2 linked regions of the Tamandua tetradactyla genome follow. The protein of the gene in region 1 purifies or fractionates together with the protein of each later gene. This does not show direct contact. Links are inferred from orthologs where the notes say so. Each region holds a gene or a part of one and is shown in the gene's direction. Other genes may lie near its edges.

Region 1 (6,347 bases):
ATGTAATAACATGGATGGACCTAGAGAACATTATGCTGAGTGAGTCTAGCCAAAAACTAAAGGACAAATACTGTATGGTCCCACTGATGTGAACCGACATTCGAGAATAAACTTGGAATATGTCATTGGTAACAGAAACCAGCAGGAGTTAGAAACAGGGTAAGATAATGGGTAATTGGAGCTGAAGGGATACAGACTGTGCAACAGGACTAGGTACAAAAACTCAAAAATGGACAGCACAATAATACCTAATTGTAAAGCAATCATGTTAAAACACTGAATGAAGCTGCATCTGAGCTATAGGTTTTTTTTTTGTCTGTCTGTTTGTTTGTTTGTCTTTTTTCTTTTTTTTTTTACTATTATTATTATTTTTATCTTTTTTCTCTATATTAACATTCTATATCTTTTTCTGTTGTTTTGCTAGTTCTTTTCCTAAATCGATGCAAATGTACTAAGAAATGATGATCATGCATCTATGTGATGATATTAAGAATTACTGATTGCATATGTAGAATGGAATGATTTCTAAATGTTGTGTTAATTTCTTTTTTTTCTTTAATTAAAAAAAAAAAAAGAAAAAAAAAAAAGGAGACTAAAGCTGCAGCCTGGGAGGAAAATCAGAAGCACTTGGTGCCTTGGAGGGGGAGTGAAGAAAGCATTTCAAGGAGGAGAATGAACAAATGCCACTAATGGTACAAGTCAGTTGAGGACTAAGATTGATTACTGGATTTGGCAATGTGGAGGTCATTGGGACCTGGATAAAAGCAGTTACGATGGGGAGGTGAGTGCTAAAGCCTGCCTGGAGTATAGTATAAAGGGTACTTGGTCAGGTCACTGTCCCCCAAACTAGGCTAATTTTCCCCCAAATCTATTTATATCTCCAGCCCCTGGCTTCACACTCTCTCCCACCCCCCTCCATTTTTTTAGTAGTTTACTTGTTTTAACACCTGCCTCCTCCACCACATTTTAAGTTGTGTGAGAACAGAGATCAAGTCAATTTTTTATTCGCTGATGCTTCCTCAGCATGTAGCAAATGCCCAGGACATGGTGAAGGCTCGTTTCCTCCAGGAAGCTTTTTCAGATTTTTTTGGAGATAGGGAACTGACTTCCCTTAGCTTAAGGGACACACTGCAAGTCTCTCATTTGGACCCTTCTTCCCAAACAAACCCTGCACTTTGATCTTCAATTCTAGTTTTATTTATGATGAACTCTCCACCTGGAAGACTTCATTTCTCTCTTTCGAAATCTTATCCATTCTTCAAGATCAATGACAGTCACTCATTCATTCAAGAAACAGTTATCTACCATTTGACTAGTCTCTGCCCTTGAAGAATGTCTCAGTTTGTTGTGGGACCCAGATGTATAAATGCAGGTAGGTAAAATACAGCAAGGGAAGTCAGGGCCCTGCAGTTAGAAAGGCCCCATGCTTAGAAAGACCTGATGCTTGGTTTAATGCTCTACTGTCACCCTCTTGAAATTCTTAATTTGTGCAAGGGACCCCACAAATAAAGTAGCTGGTCCTGAGTGAAGTGAGGGATATACAAAATTATGGAACATAATCCTTTTGCTTTTTCTCTTGATAGGTGAAACAAATATTTATTGATTGATTACCATGTTCTGAGGTAACCAGGTGAAGTGGGGGAAGGCATGGCCACTCCCAGCAGAGGGGACTACTGGAGAAAGACCCTGAAGCCAGAAACAGCCTGCGGTGTAGCAGGACCAGAAGGGCCTTATCAAGATATGCCTTTTGCTTAAATATCTTTCTTTCCTTCCCTCATGATTCTATTGTCCTTTGTCAGCATCTCTTAACTAGCACAAACCCATCATACTTTGAGTTACATTGGGCAGTTTACCCAGACATGTTCACTAGACAGGCATTGTGCTAGAGGACACGGCTTCCATCCTTCCGAAGTTTTCATTCCTTGGAGGAAGAGGGAGATGTTAATAATAGATGGTGAGCATGTTGAGGGTAGGTCTCTCGTACACAGCTTGCTCAGTGCAGAGTCAGCAATGGATATCGTTACTTTCGGATTCAAAGGCCAATGCTGAAATCAACCTTATTCATCATCCCAGGAGGAGAAACATTATCAGGGTTTCCTATCTCAGGTTAATTAGCAAGCTGTAGTCATTTTTGTTGTTGTTTGCTTTGTAGTATTTTCTTTTTAGGAGTATTCACCGTGAAGATAAGGAACATAGGGTGGGAATAAAATCTTCTAAATGGTCAGAGGGATAGGGATAGAATCTAGGTTTCTTAAGTTTATGTCGGTTTCTATTACACTCTGCCTTACACTGCGGGACCTTTACTTAGCCACAGTTTCTCTTTTGGTAAAACCAGAGGGTGGACTCTGAGCACTTTTCTGGGACACTTGTGACGCAGGAGAGCGCTCCCAGGACCCGGAGGCGCCGCGCCCGGTCGTCGGGCCGCGGCCGGGGCGGGGCCTGAGCCTCACCTGTGCGCAGTGCGGTGACTCACCTCCTCCCCCCATCCCCCGCGGGGGCCTTCCAGGAGTCGCTGCTCCTCCTTCCTCTCAGGGTCACTCAGCCTGAGCGCCCACTAGGGGCCTGGGAGAAAGTAACTCTGGGGTGGGGACCGAGAGGAAGAGGTCCCGGCCTGGCCTCGCCAGGCTGTCTTCGCAGTCCGGATCCCTACAAAGCGGGAGTCGGGCAGGGCCAGGAAGCGCGGGCCTGGGGGCGGTGGCGGCGGGAGGCTCCGGGAAGAGCGCGTCGGAGGGAGGCGCCGGGAAGGGCGGGCGGGGCCCGGGCCACGGGGCGGGGGGCGGGGGCGCCTGACGGCCCATTTCCTCTTCGGAGCCGGACGGGAGAGAGACAAAGCGGTGGCCGTCGGCTTCGGGCTTCGGGATCCTCCTGCGCTCGCTCTGCTCGCCCCAGGTAACTCTCTTGGCGCCTCCCTTCGCGCCGGCACGGGCCCCTTGCAGGGGCTCTGGGGGTCCTCGGGCCGGGCCGCCCCTAGCGGGGCCCCGCTGGCGGGTGGGGTGCGGTATCCTCCGCCGCCCTGCCCAGGATTGGGCTCCGGGTGGGGCGCGAGGCCAGTCTCCGGCCTCTGGCCCGCAGCCGCTTTCCCTGCGTGGCCCCCGTACCGCGGCCTGGCCGGGCGGGGCCCGCGCTTCCCGGCCTCGGGAAGTTGAGGGGCCGCCGCGGCCGGAGGAGAGGAAGTCGCAGGCCTCGCGCAGCTCAGCGTATCCTGCCGGAAAAGTTTCTCCCGGTTTCTAAAGTTTGCTGGAGTGGACTCGGTGTGCGCGCCACGCCCGCGCGCGGCCCCCGGGGCCGCCGGCCTGGTAAAGAATGCCGGCGCGCTGTTCCCTGTGCGAGTGTGACCCGGGAGTTGAGTTTTCCAGTGGTGTTTATCCTTTGGTTCTGTGCTTTCTCTGGCCCCACCTCTCCGTCACCGGCCGCTAAAACTCCCCCGACTGTTGAACTGAGAACTTTTGCTGAGACCGCGCACCCTCATTTCCCGCCCCGAACGGATATAAAAGTTTAATTCTCCCTTTCCCTGACACAGTCTTGTTGATAAGGTGCACCACACCCGTGTGGACTTTTGGCGTGTACCGTTTATTGTGAAATTACTCAAGATTTGTGCTGGTCAGTTGGACACACCTAATTCAGATTCGTCCAAGTTTTCAAAAGTGGCATTAGATTCTTGTAGACTTTTAAAGGATCGTGTGTGTGTGTGTGTGTGTGTGTGTGTGTGTGGTGGTGGGGTAGGGGGTGAAGAGGTGGGGAGAAGCACTTGCTGGAAAAAATTTTGACGGAATGCCTAATTTTGGCTTGGCACTAAAGGCTTCCCAGTAATGCAGGCGTCAGTTGGTCCAAATCCAGGATTGACATCCTCTTGTGTCCTCCTGCGGCTTTGTAACATTTCTGCATTTGTTTTGTGTAGAATTTACAATAATTTCGAAAAGGTTGTGTTTTTAAGTCCCCGGTTAATCTAAGGACGTTTCATATTTTTGTTGAAGGAAGTGATTACATCATTGTATTGTGACAGGATAGACGTTTTGATGAGAGGTTGTTTTGTGTTTTACAGTGATTTTTAAAACGATTTGCAGGGCAGGCCACGGTGGCTCAGCAGAGTTCTCGCCTGCCATGCTGGAGACCAGGGTTCGATTCCCGGTGCCTGCCCATGCAAAAAACAAAACAAAATAAAAAAAAACAACAAAACGATATACAGGTGTGTGTTACTTTAAGAAAATGTGAACTTGTAAATTAAATTAATTCAAGTACGTTATTTTGTTTTACAAGAGGAATGAACCGAGGAGCTATCCTTAGCCTCTGCCCAGTTATTTACCCTTCTTGACTTTTATTAAGTTAAATAATTTTCCCCCCTCTTAAAGGGCTTAGGGTTGAATAGGCCATGTTCTCTGTTCCTAAGGGTTCACGGTGTAATATAAGGCAGACTGTGATAACTGCCTTAGCAATAATATTGAGAAACTACTGTGTATAGATAAAATATTATATAATATTTGCAATAAAGGAAGCTTGTGAGGACATGGGGAAGGGTAATTGGTTTTATTTGGAGAAGTCAGGAAAGGCTTCCAGGAAGGGATGAAATATTTGACTGGCCTTTGAAACTTGAGAAGGGTTTTGTCAGCTGAAGAGAGGGAGTGAGAAGCATGAAAGAACACAGGAGTTTGGGAGTATTGTGAGACAGATCTCCTGGTTTTCCTTATACTTTTGGTTACTACTTTTCAGTCTTTTCTTTTTTTAATCCACTTGTACCCAAGGTTTTATCCTGTGCATCTTGGTTTTTTTTTTTTAATTTATTTTGTATTATCAAACCAAAACAACATACAAACATGAACATTCTTAAAATACAAACGTTGCATGTATGGTGTATAATCAGTGGCTCACAGTATCATCTCATATAGTAGTATGTTCATAACCATGATCATTTTTTAGAACATTTGCATCACTCCAGAAAAAGAAATAAAAAGAAAAACTCACCATACCAAACCCTGTATCCTTCCCTTTCATTGACCACTAGTTTTTCCATCTGTTCAACAGATTTTAACCTTTGTCCCCCTATTTTTTTCTAAACCTCTTACCACTCCCTTTCGTTGTTCACTAGTATTTCAATCTACTCAATTTATCTTAACGTTTGTTCTCCCTATTATTTATTTATATTTAATCCATATTTTTTACTCATCTGTCAATATCGTAGATAAAAGGAGCGTCAAATACAAAGTTTTCACAGTCACATAGTCACTTTGTGAAAGCTATATCATGATACGTTCATCTTCAAGAAGCATGGCTGCTGGGACACAGCTCTACATTTTCAGGCACTTCCCTCTAGTCTCTGTAATGCACCTTAAACTAAAAAGGGGATATCTATAAAAGGCATAAGAATAACCTCCAGAGTAACCTCTCGATTCTGTTTGACGTTTCTCAGTCACTGACACTTTGTTTTATCTCATTTTTCTCTCCTCCGTTTAGGTGGAGAAGATTTTCTCAATCCTTGATGCTAAGTCCCAGTGTATTCTAGGATTTCTGTCCCACATTGGCAGGGAGCTTTACACCCCTGGGATTTATGTCCCATGTAGAGAGGGAGAAGGCGGTGAGCTTGCTTGTCATGTTGGCTGAGAGAGAGAGAGACCACATCTGAGCACAAAAGAGGTTTTCTAGGGGTAGATGACTCTTTGGCCTGATTTTAAGTAGGCTTGGTCTATCCTTCATGGGGATAAGTTTCATATGAATAACCCCCAAGATTGAGGGCTTGGCCTATTGATTTGATTGTCCTCACTGCTTGCTAGAATGTCAGGAATTCTCCAAATGGGGAGATTGAATTTTCCCCCTTTCTCACCATTCCCCCAAGGGGACTTTGCAAATACTTTTTTATTTACTGTTAAGATCACTCTTTTTGATTTATCAGGGCATCCTTTTGGACAAACCTACAAAATCTCATGCCCTATTCAAGGTTCCAGTACTTATGGTGTTCAATTAAACTGTCCATATAAGTTATATTAGGAAATGCTGTAGTCAATAAATTTTGTACCATATAAACATTTTTTTCTTTAGTCTCACACATAAGTTGACGTTTTAAAATATGAATGGCCACCTATTTTCGACACCCTGCAATATGGACATTCTTTTGTTCTTCCTCATGTAAAAACATTTTTTAATTTGTACATTTAGTCACTGTCATTATGTGCTCTAGACATTCCTAGGTTATACCATCTCAGTCTTTATCGTCTATCTTTCTTTCTGGCTTCATTTGTGCCACCAGCCCACCTCCCTCTATCATTCTCACATTCAGCTTCATTGACTGTACTAACATTATTGGGCTACAATTAGGTAGTACTGTGCTATCCATTTCTGAATTTTTAGTCAGTTCT
Region 2 (6,347 bases), on another chromosome or scaffold:
TCCCAGCCTCTGTTTCCCCATCTGCAGCATGGGGATGACCATGGTACCGCCTCATGGGACTGGCTGGAGGGCTGAATGAGGAGTGGCAGCACACCACAGGCCATGGCCCCCCCATGGGAGCATGTAAACACACTACCTGGGAAGCCGCAACATGCAGGTCTCGGGGTTCCATTGGTTGGCTGAGGTGGTGCCCAGGAATCTGCATTGGTAACATACGCACACTCGTCCCTCCCCAAGAGATTCTGAGGCAGTTGGTCAACCACCACACGTCAAGAAACACCTGCTCAATAAACATTTGTTGTCATGATTTTCATGCTTTCCTTTAATCCTCCAGACAGTCCTGCAAAGTATGAATGGACAGCCCGTGGCATGGGTGAGGAACAGAGGCTCCAAGAGGCAAACTGGCCACCGAGGTCACACGGCAGGCAGCGACCGGGCCCGGTTGGGTCTGAGCTTGGGTCTGCCAAGCCCCCCAGCCTGAACCTATCCAAGTGGGGTGCCACGGACTCCCCCCACCCCCAGTCAGCTTTTGTCCTGGCAGAGGGTGGGTGGGCGTCCCTGGGCCTTGCTGTTGCCCTCTCCCACCCCCCACTTCCTCCGGCTGCTAATCAGGTCTCTGCAGACCATCCCGTTTCCTGCCTCCTTCACTCCAGATGGCACTTCCTGGCCTTGATCCCTCCCGTTACCTCCTCTGCCTCGAGAAGGGTTGGGGCAGGGGCTGGGTAGTGCCAGGAATCAGGCCGAGATCCTCAGGGGGCCCCTCCCGCGGCTACCCTGGCTGCCATGACCCAGATCCCCCTGGGTCCAGTGGGCAAGTTTCAGGCTGGCCATACCCTTGCTCCTGGCAGGAACTGCAGGTTTTCAGGGCAGGATCAACTTCCCCCTGGACAGGGAGTACAAAGGGAATTGGCCGACAGTGCCAGGACGGGCCGTCCCTGTCTGCCAGCAGCGCCTAATCTGAGCCCCGGCAGGAGGCGACGCTCAGGCCAGACGTGTCCCCATGGGCACGCGGTCCAGGGCCACAGCAGGCGGCAGCGGCGGGGGTGGGGGCAGGCACCGGCTGCGCACGAGAGGCTGGCGCGCCGGCGGGCCTGGCCTGGCTCCTCCGGGACCACTCCGCGCTCCAGGCAGGAGAAGGCAGAGTTAATCCTGCAGGGGAAGGAAACGCTGAGCTGTTGTTTGCTCATTCCACAAACAGTGATTGACCGTTTGATTGGCCCTACTGAATCCCACTCCAAGTCCCGCCTCGAGGACCGTTCTCCTTCCAGCAGGTGGCTCTTTCCTCTCCAGCGTCACCGTCTTCCCTCAGCTCGCAAACAGGCTGCCCGTGCTTTCTGCTTCAACAACAACAAAACCCACCTCCCGGGCCCGTGCTCCCGCTCACTGCAAGGCTTGGGGGAGGAGCGGAAATCATGGCCTCTCACTGCCGCGCCCCCCGTCACTAGCCCCTCCGCTCGCTCTTGCCTACCTCTTTCCGTTCAAACTGCTCTGGTCAAAGTCATCGATGACCTCCATCTTCCAATCCAGCGGTCAGCTCTGAGCCCTTCGCTTCCCGCAGCGCCCATCCACGCGGCCTCGGCAGCTTCCCGCTGCTGCGTTTCCACCTTCCCCGCGGGTCCCTCTCGACCGTGCGATCTGAGCCTCTCTCCGCGAAATCGCGTGCGTTCCCAGGCCCCGGGTGCCGGCCGCGAGCCCGAGGCTTCCAGAGCTCCTGTCCAGGCCCAACCCCGCCGGCGTATCCAGCTGCCAACCTGCCCTCTCCCAGGGGACGTCTCACAAGCATCCTCAAGTTAACATGCCCAGAACAGAAAAATCTATATCCCCTCCCCGCCCCCAAACACCAATTCAGCCCATCCCGCATCTCCATACAGTCCTGGGGCCGGGCCCCCCTCTCAGGGCCTCTGTTTATCCAGCTGTATGATGGGACAAGCTCAGGATTTCCCACCGTTCATCTATGGAAAGCCAGGGGCCTCTAGGCCAAGGACAGATTCCCAGGGCCTGGCCAGGGAGATTCCAGATCAGCTGGTTGGGGGGAGGGAGCGGCAGGTCTAGGTACCTGTGGTTTCTAAAAGCCCCCAGATGGCTCTCACAGCTAACAGAATCTGGACCTCCACTGCACCCCCCAGGCCCCAGGCAGGCACCCCTCCCACCCTCAGCATCACTATGTTCTAAGCCCTGCTCTGATTCTTATTTATCCCAATAACCTGTGAAGTTGAGGCATATATATATATGCCCATTTTACAGATGAGGAAGCTGAGGCTCAGGGAGGGGTACTACTAGGCCATGGAACACCAGAAGCAAAGCCAGTACGCTTGGCTCCCACCCAATATTACTAAACCCCAACAGTGGTGGGCGCCTCAGAGCTGGCACTCACCCCCATCCCCATCAGGGGCCCACCGGTCTCTCCAGAGCCAAAAGTGGCTGTTTCCTGCCTCCCACTCACCCCAACCCTGAGGCCCCTGAACTCTCCCCATTGCCTGGAGTCACCCCTCTTCATTCCCCTGCTCCCCAGCATATCCTAGGTCCCAGAAGAAGTCTCAAGCTTGATTTGGAGCTCTACGTTACCCCAGCTAGGTGGACAAGCGTCCTAAACTCGCTGAGCTGTAAATCGAGGGTGAGGATTCCTGCATTCAGGGTGACAGTGAGGGTTAGGCCAGGCCCTCGGCAAGTGCCGTGCTTGGACTCCGGAGCCTGAAGTCTGGAGGTGGGGGTCTGAGTTCAGCTCCCTCAGCCAGGTCCCAGGCTCGGCCTCGGGGGGACAGCCCGGCCGGGCCTGCCTATCTGCAGCCAGCCCCGGCTCACAAAGGAACAATAACAGGAAGCCATCCCAGGGGGAAGTGGGTCCAGGCCAGCTGGAAAACCTGAAGGGGCGGCGGCCCGGCCTCCCTCGCCGGGCCGGGTGTGGCTCCCCTCGAGAGGCGGTCGGCCGAGCTCCACAGCACACACAGCCCAGGACAGACGGTCAGACAGAACAGAGGCCCTGCTCGGCCCCCAGGCACGGTGAGTGAGGGCTTCCCGCACCCCACCCCACCCCCAGCCCAGGATGGAGGCTCCTCAGCTTCCCGATCTGTGGAATGGACACTGCTGGGTTCCCCCAGGGCAGAAGGGGCCTCCCCAGGCTCAGCTGGGAAGGGTGCCTGCCGCAGGTACACACAGCGGTTCTAGGTGCTGGGGGGGGGCGCATTCAGCCCACCCACAGATGGGCTCCCCAGCTCGGCGTGGTCCCCGGGGCCCACTGAGCCTCGAAGACCACTGGTTCTATTGGTGCCCAGAGAGAATGGGACTGTCCCCGAGTCACCGGGCACACCAAGGGTAGAAGACTGGCACCCAGGGCCTGGCTTCCCCGTCCCTTCCTTCCCCGACAGGAAAGGATTTACCTCGGCCTGTAGCCCCGTTCACTCCCTCCCACTGGTCTCAGGTCTGCACAAGGATGGGCGAAGGAGCCCCAAAGGGGGAGCTCTAAGCCTCAGCCATCTCTACTAGCCAGTGCCCCTATTTTCAGGATAGGCAAGCCGAGGCTCAGCACTGAGCTCCTGAGGCCCTACCTGTGGTTTCTCCCTGCCCCCAACGCCACAGAGGTCCCCTCAGGCCATGAGAGCTGCTGTCAGGAAAGCCGCCCACCCCTACCCCTCCCCCCCCAAAGTGCAGATCCCCAGGGCTGGGGCCTGAGGCCCTGTGGCCTCACTTCTCCAGGAGGCCCGGAAGACCTGCAGGGCCCCAGCTTGGGGACAGTGGACCTGGGAGCAGAGCTCAGCCTTCCCCTCACTTCCCCCAGGACCTCGGGAAAGTCACCTGAAGCCTCCAAACCTCAGTCTGCTTGTCTGAACAACAGAGAGACAGACTCTTGTTGCAATCCATTGTGAGAACTAGAGGTGACGCCCACCGAAATGGGGTTCGTTATTTTACTATGATCAGCCTTCTTGGTGGAGGCAGCAGAGCTGTGGAGACGTAAGAAGTGGAGGGGGATTCGAACTAGAACCCTAAATTCAGGCTTCTTCCAGCACCCCGTAGCTTCTACAAGTCCGTTTTCTGTAAAACGGAGGAAAGAGTCTTTTCAGGAGTCAGTTAAATGATGGGGTGCTCAGCCCCCCGCATGTGAGTAGTGCACAGAAGGGGGACCTTTAAGGAATCGTGGCTGGTGGCTGGCATGGTTGTGAATGTTGTAAAGGTGTTTTTGGCACCTGAGGCACGGCCCAGGGTGTCGTGACTGGTCCCCAGGCCCGCCCCTGGCAAGGGGGTCGCTGGGAGATGCGGGTGAGACGCTGGCCAGTCACCCGTTCCTTGGCAGGCACTTCAGGAGGGCAACTATTCCATGCCCGGCCCTGTACTCAGCACCCACCTTCATCCTCCGGAGGGGGCGAGGGCAGGACACGGTTCCTGCCGCGTGTGCTGGGCATATAGGATCTGGCAGGAGACAAAGGGCATGCCTGGGGAGCCGGGAAAGCCCAGGCCGCTGAGAGGACTCGGGAGTCTGGTGTAGCCAAAGTGTTCTTTAGACCAGGGAGAGAGGAGGCAGGACTGGTGGCACTGCAGACCACACATGCCAGGACCAGGAGCTTTGGTTCACCCTCCAGCCCAGGCAGCCATGAGTGTCTCCTCTGCCCGGCCTGCACCCAGCTCACCTGTAAACCCCCACCCTGGAGGGCAGCAGGTGCCCCTCTGAGGGTCTAAGGAGCTGCTGAGCCCCCAAACAGCACTGCCAATCCCAGCTGATGGGGAAGAAGTGTCTACCGCCTGGGAAGGGGTTAAGCTGCCTACGGTCTCCACCTGACCAATTGTGCTGCTGAACAAGAGCCGGACATGAAGGCAGGAAGCTGCAGGGGCCATACGTATTTTCTCCCAAAGTCGGATGACTCATAGCTCTGCTGCTGGCCTGGGGACGCACAGTGGACACAGCGGCCACCAGCCCAGGAAAATTCTCAGGGCTCTTGCCTGGGTGGACCCATCCCTCCTACTTCCATCACCTCTCTGCAACCCCAGGCATGCCTGCAAGAAGTTGCATTTGACAGATGGGACAGTCTGAGGCCACACGGCTAGTACAAGGCGGGAGCAGGACACAAATGAGTCTCTGTCCCTTCTGACCCCACAGCCATTGCCACACTCCCAGATGGAACTCAAAGAGAAAGAAAGTCAGGGAAACATGAACCTGATTGTTCAGGCCACAGAAGCAGGCAGGAGGACGAGCCAGGAACCTGACGATGCTGAGGAAGGAATGTCCTAGGGGACTGGGTCTGCACACAGGGGCTTGGGGTCTGGCTAAGGAGATGACAAAACACCATGCCAACCCAGGCCTAAGCTGGTGTCACATGGAGAAATCACAGAGGGCTGCCTGGAGGAAGAACAGGAGCTTCAGATGCCATGGGGCCTTGGACAGCCCTTCCACACTCTGGGCCTCAGTTTTCCTATCTCTCTAGAGCAAGGGATGGACCCCAAAGTTTCTAAGCTCATTCAGGGACCCCCAAATTTTTTGCTTTGGGCCACAGCAGTAACAGTCACATGCAGGCAAGTGCAGATGCTGGAAAGAGAAGGAAGTGGGGCCCATGGGGACAGGGACAGGCAGAAAGTGAATGAAGTTTCCTTCTGGAGAACAGAGGGCAGTAGGAGGTGGGTGAGGATAGAAGCAGGAAATAGGGTTGGGTGTGAGTCAACCAGCTGAGCCCGCAGGCCTCAGGCTGGAATGGGTAGGTAGACGGGGGTCCCGACATCACCCACTTACTGAGGACCCACTGCAAGCTGGGCTTCACACGCATGATCTCATTGAGTCCTCCTGACCAGAGAGGCAGTTATTGTTGCCTCCATCACAAATGAGGTCTCTTGTTCAGAGAGGGCAAGGGCAGGACTCAAGGTCACACAGCTCATTAACAAGTTCCAATAGGCAAGTCTTTGGAGTTGTTCTGTTACACCTCCCAATCCCTCAACTCTCAGTCCTGTGGGGAGTGTAGCAGGTGAGTCAGGAACCCCAACACAGGTTCCCAGTCAGGAAAGCCCCAGAGGAGCTTGCTACAATGGGTGTTCTCCTCTTGAAGCTAAGGAGCTGTCCTATTAGGAGACAGGAGGTTGGATTAGATGACCTCTGGGACTCAAAGACCCTGGCACAATTTATTTCAAATTGCAAACAAGGTCTGATGAATTGATGGAATCTACCTCTAAAGTTGCATTGAGAAAGATTCAGAGACTGAGTATAAGTTCAGTGGGTACCAACACTGATTGATTAGTGATGTCTGTCACAGGTGTGGGAAGGGGTGAGAGGTAATCCATGAGCTGTTCTGCCAATCAGATCTTAGAGGCCGCCTGCACACGGGTATATGCATGTTCATCGGGAACTCTTAAGAAGTATAATTTCATTG

Evidence for each region. The genes of interacting proteins can lie anywhere in the genome.
Region 2: the proteins of CTNNA1 (region 1) and CDH5 purify together in Homo sapiens (affinity purification with western blotting; 4 studies listed by BioGRID and IntAct, counting the BioPlex papers as one, with this or other methods). This does not show direct contact. The link is inferred for Tamandua tetradactyla from reciprocal best matches to the Homo sapiens genes CTNNA1 and CDH5.

Annotation. Positions count from the first base shown.
Region 1 is NC_135346.1:18,443,246-18,449,592, forward strand, and holds the start of CTNNA1 (catenin alpha-1), read left to right. Parts: upstream 1-2,756; 5' UTR 2,757-2,889; intron 2,890-6,347. UniProt on the Homo sapiens protein: Associates with the cytoplasmic domain of a variety of cadherins. The association of catenins to cadherins produces a complex which is linked to the actin filament network, and which seems to be of primary importance for cadherins cell-adhesion properties.
Region 2 is NC_135342.1:59,933,847-59,940,193, forward strand, and holds the start of CDH5 (cadherin-5), read left to right. Parts: upstream 1-2,900; 5' UTR 2,901-3,000; intron 3,001-6,347. UniProt on the Homo sapiens protein: Cadherins are calcium-dependent cell adhesion proteins. They preferentially interact with themselves in a homophilic manner in connecting cells; cadherins may thus contribute to the sorting of heterogeneous cell types.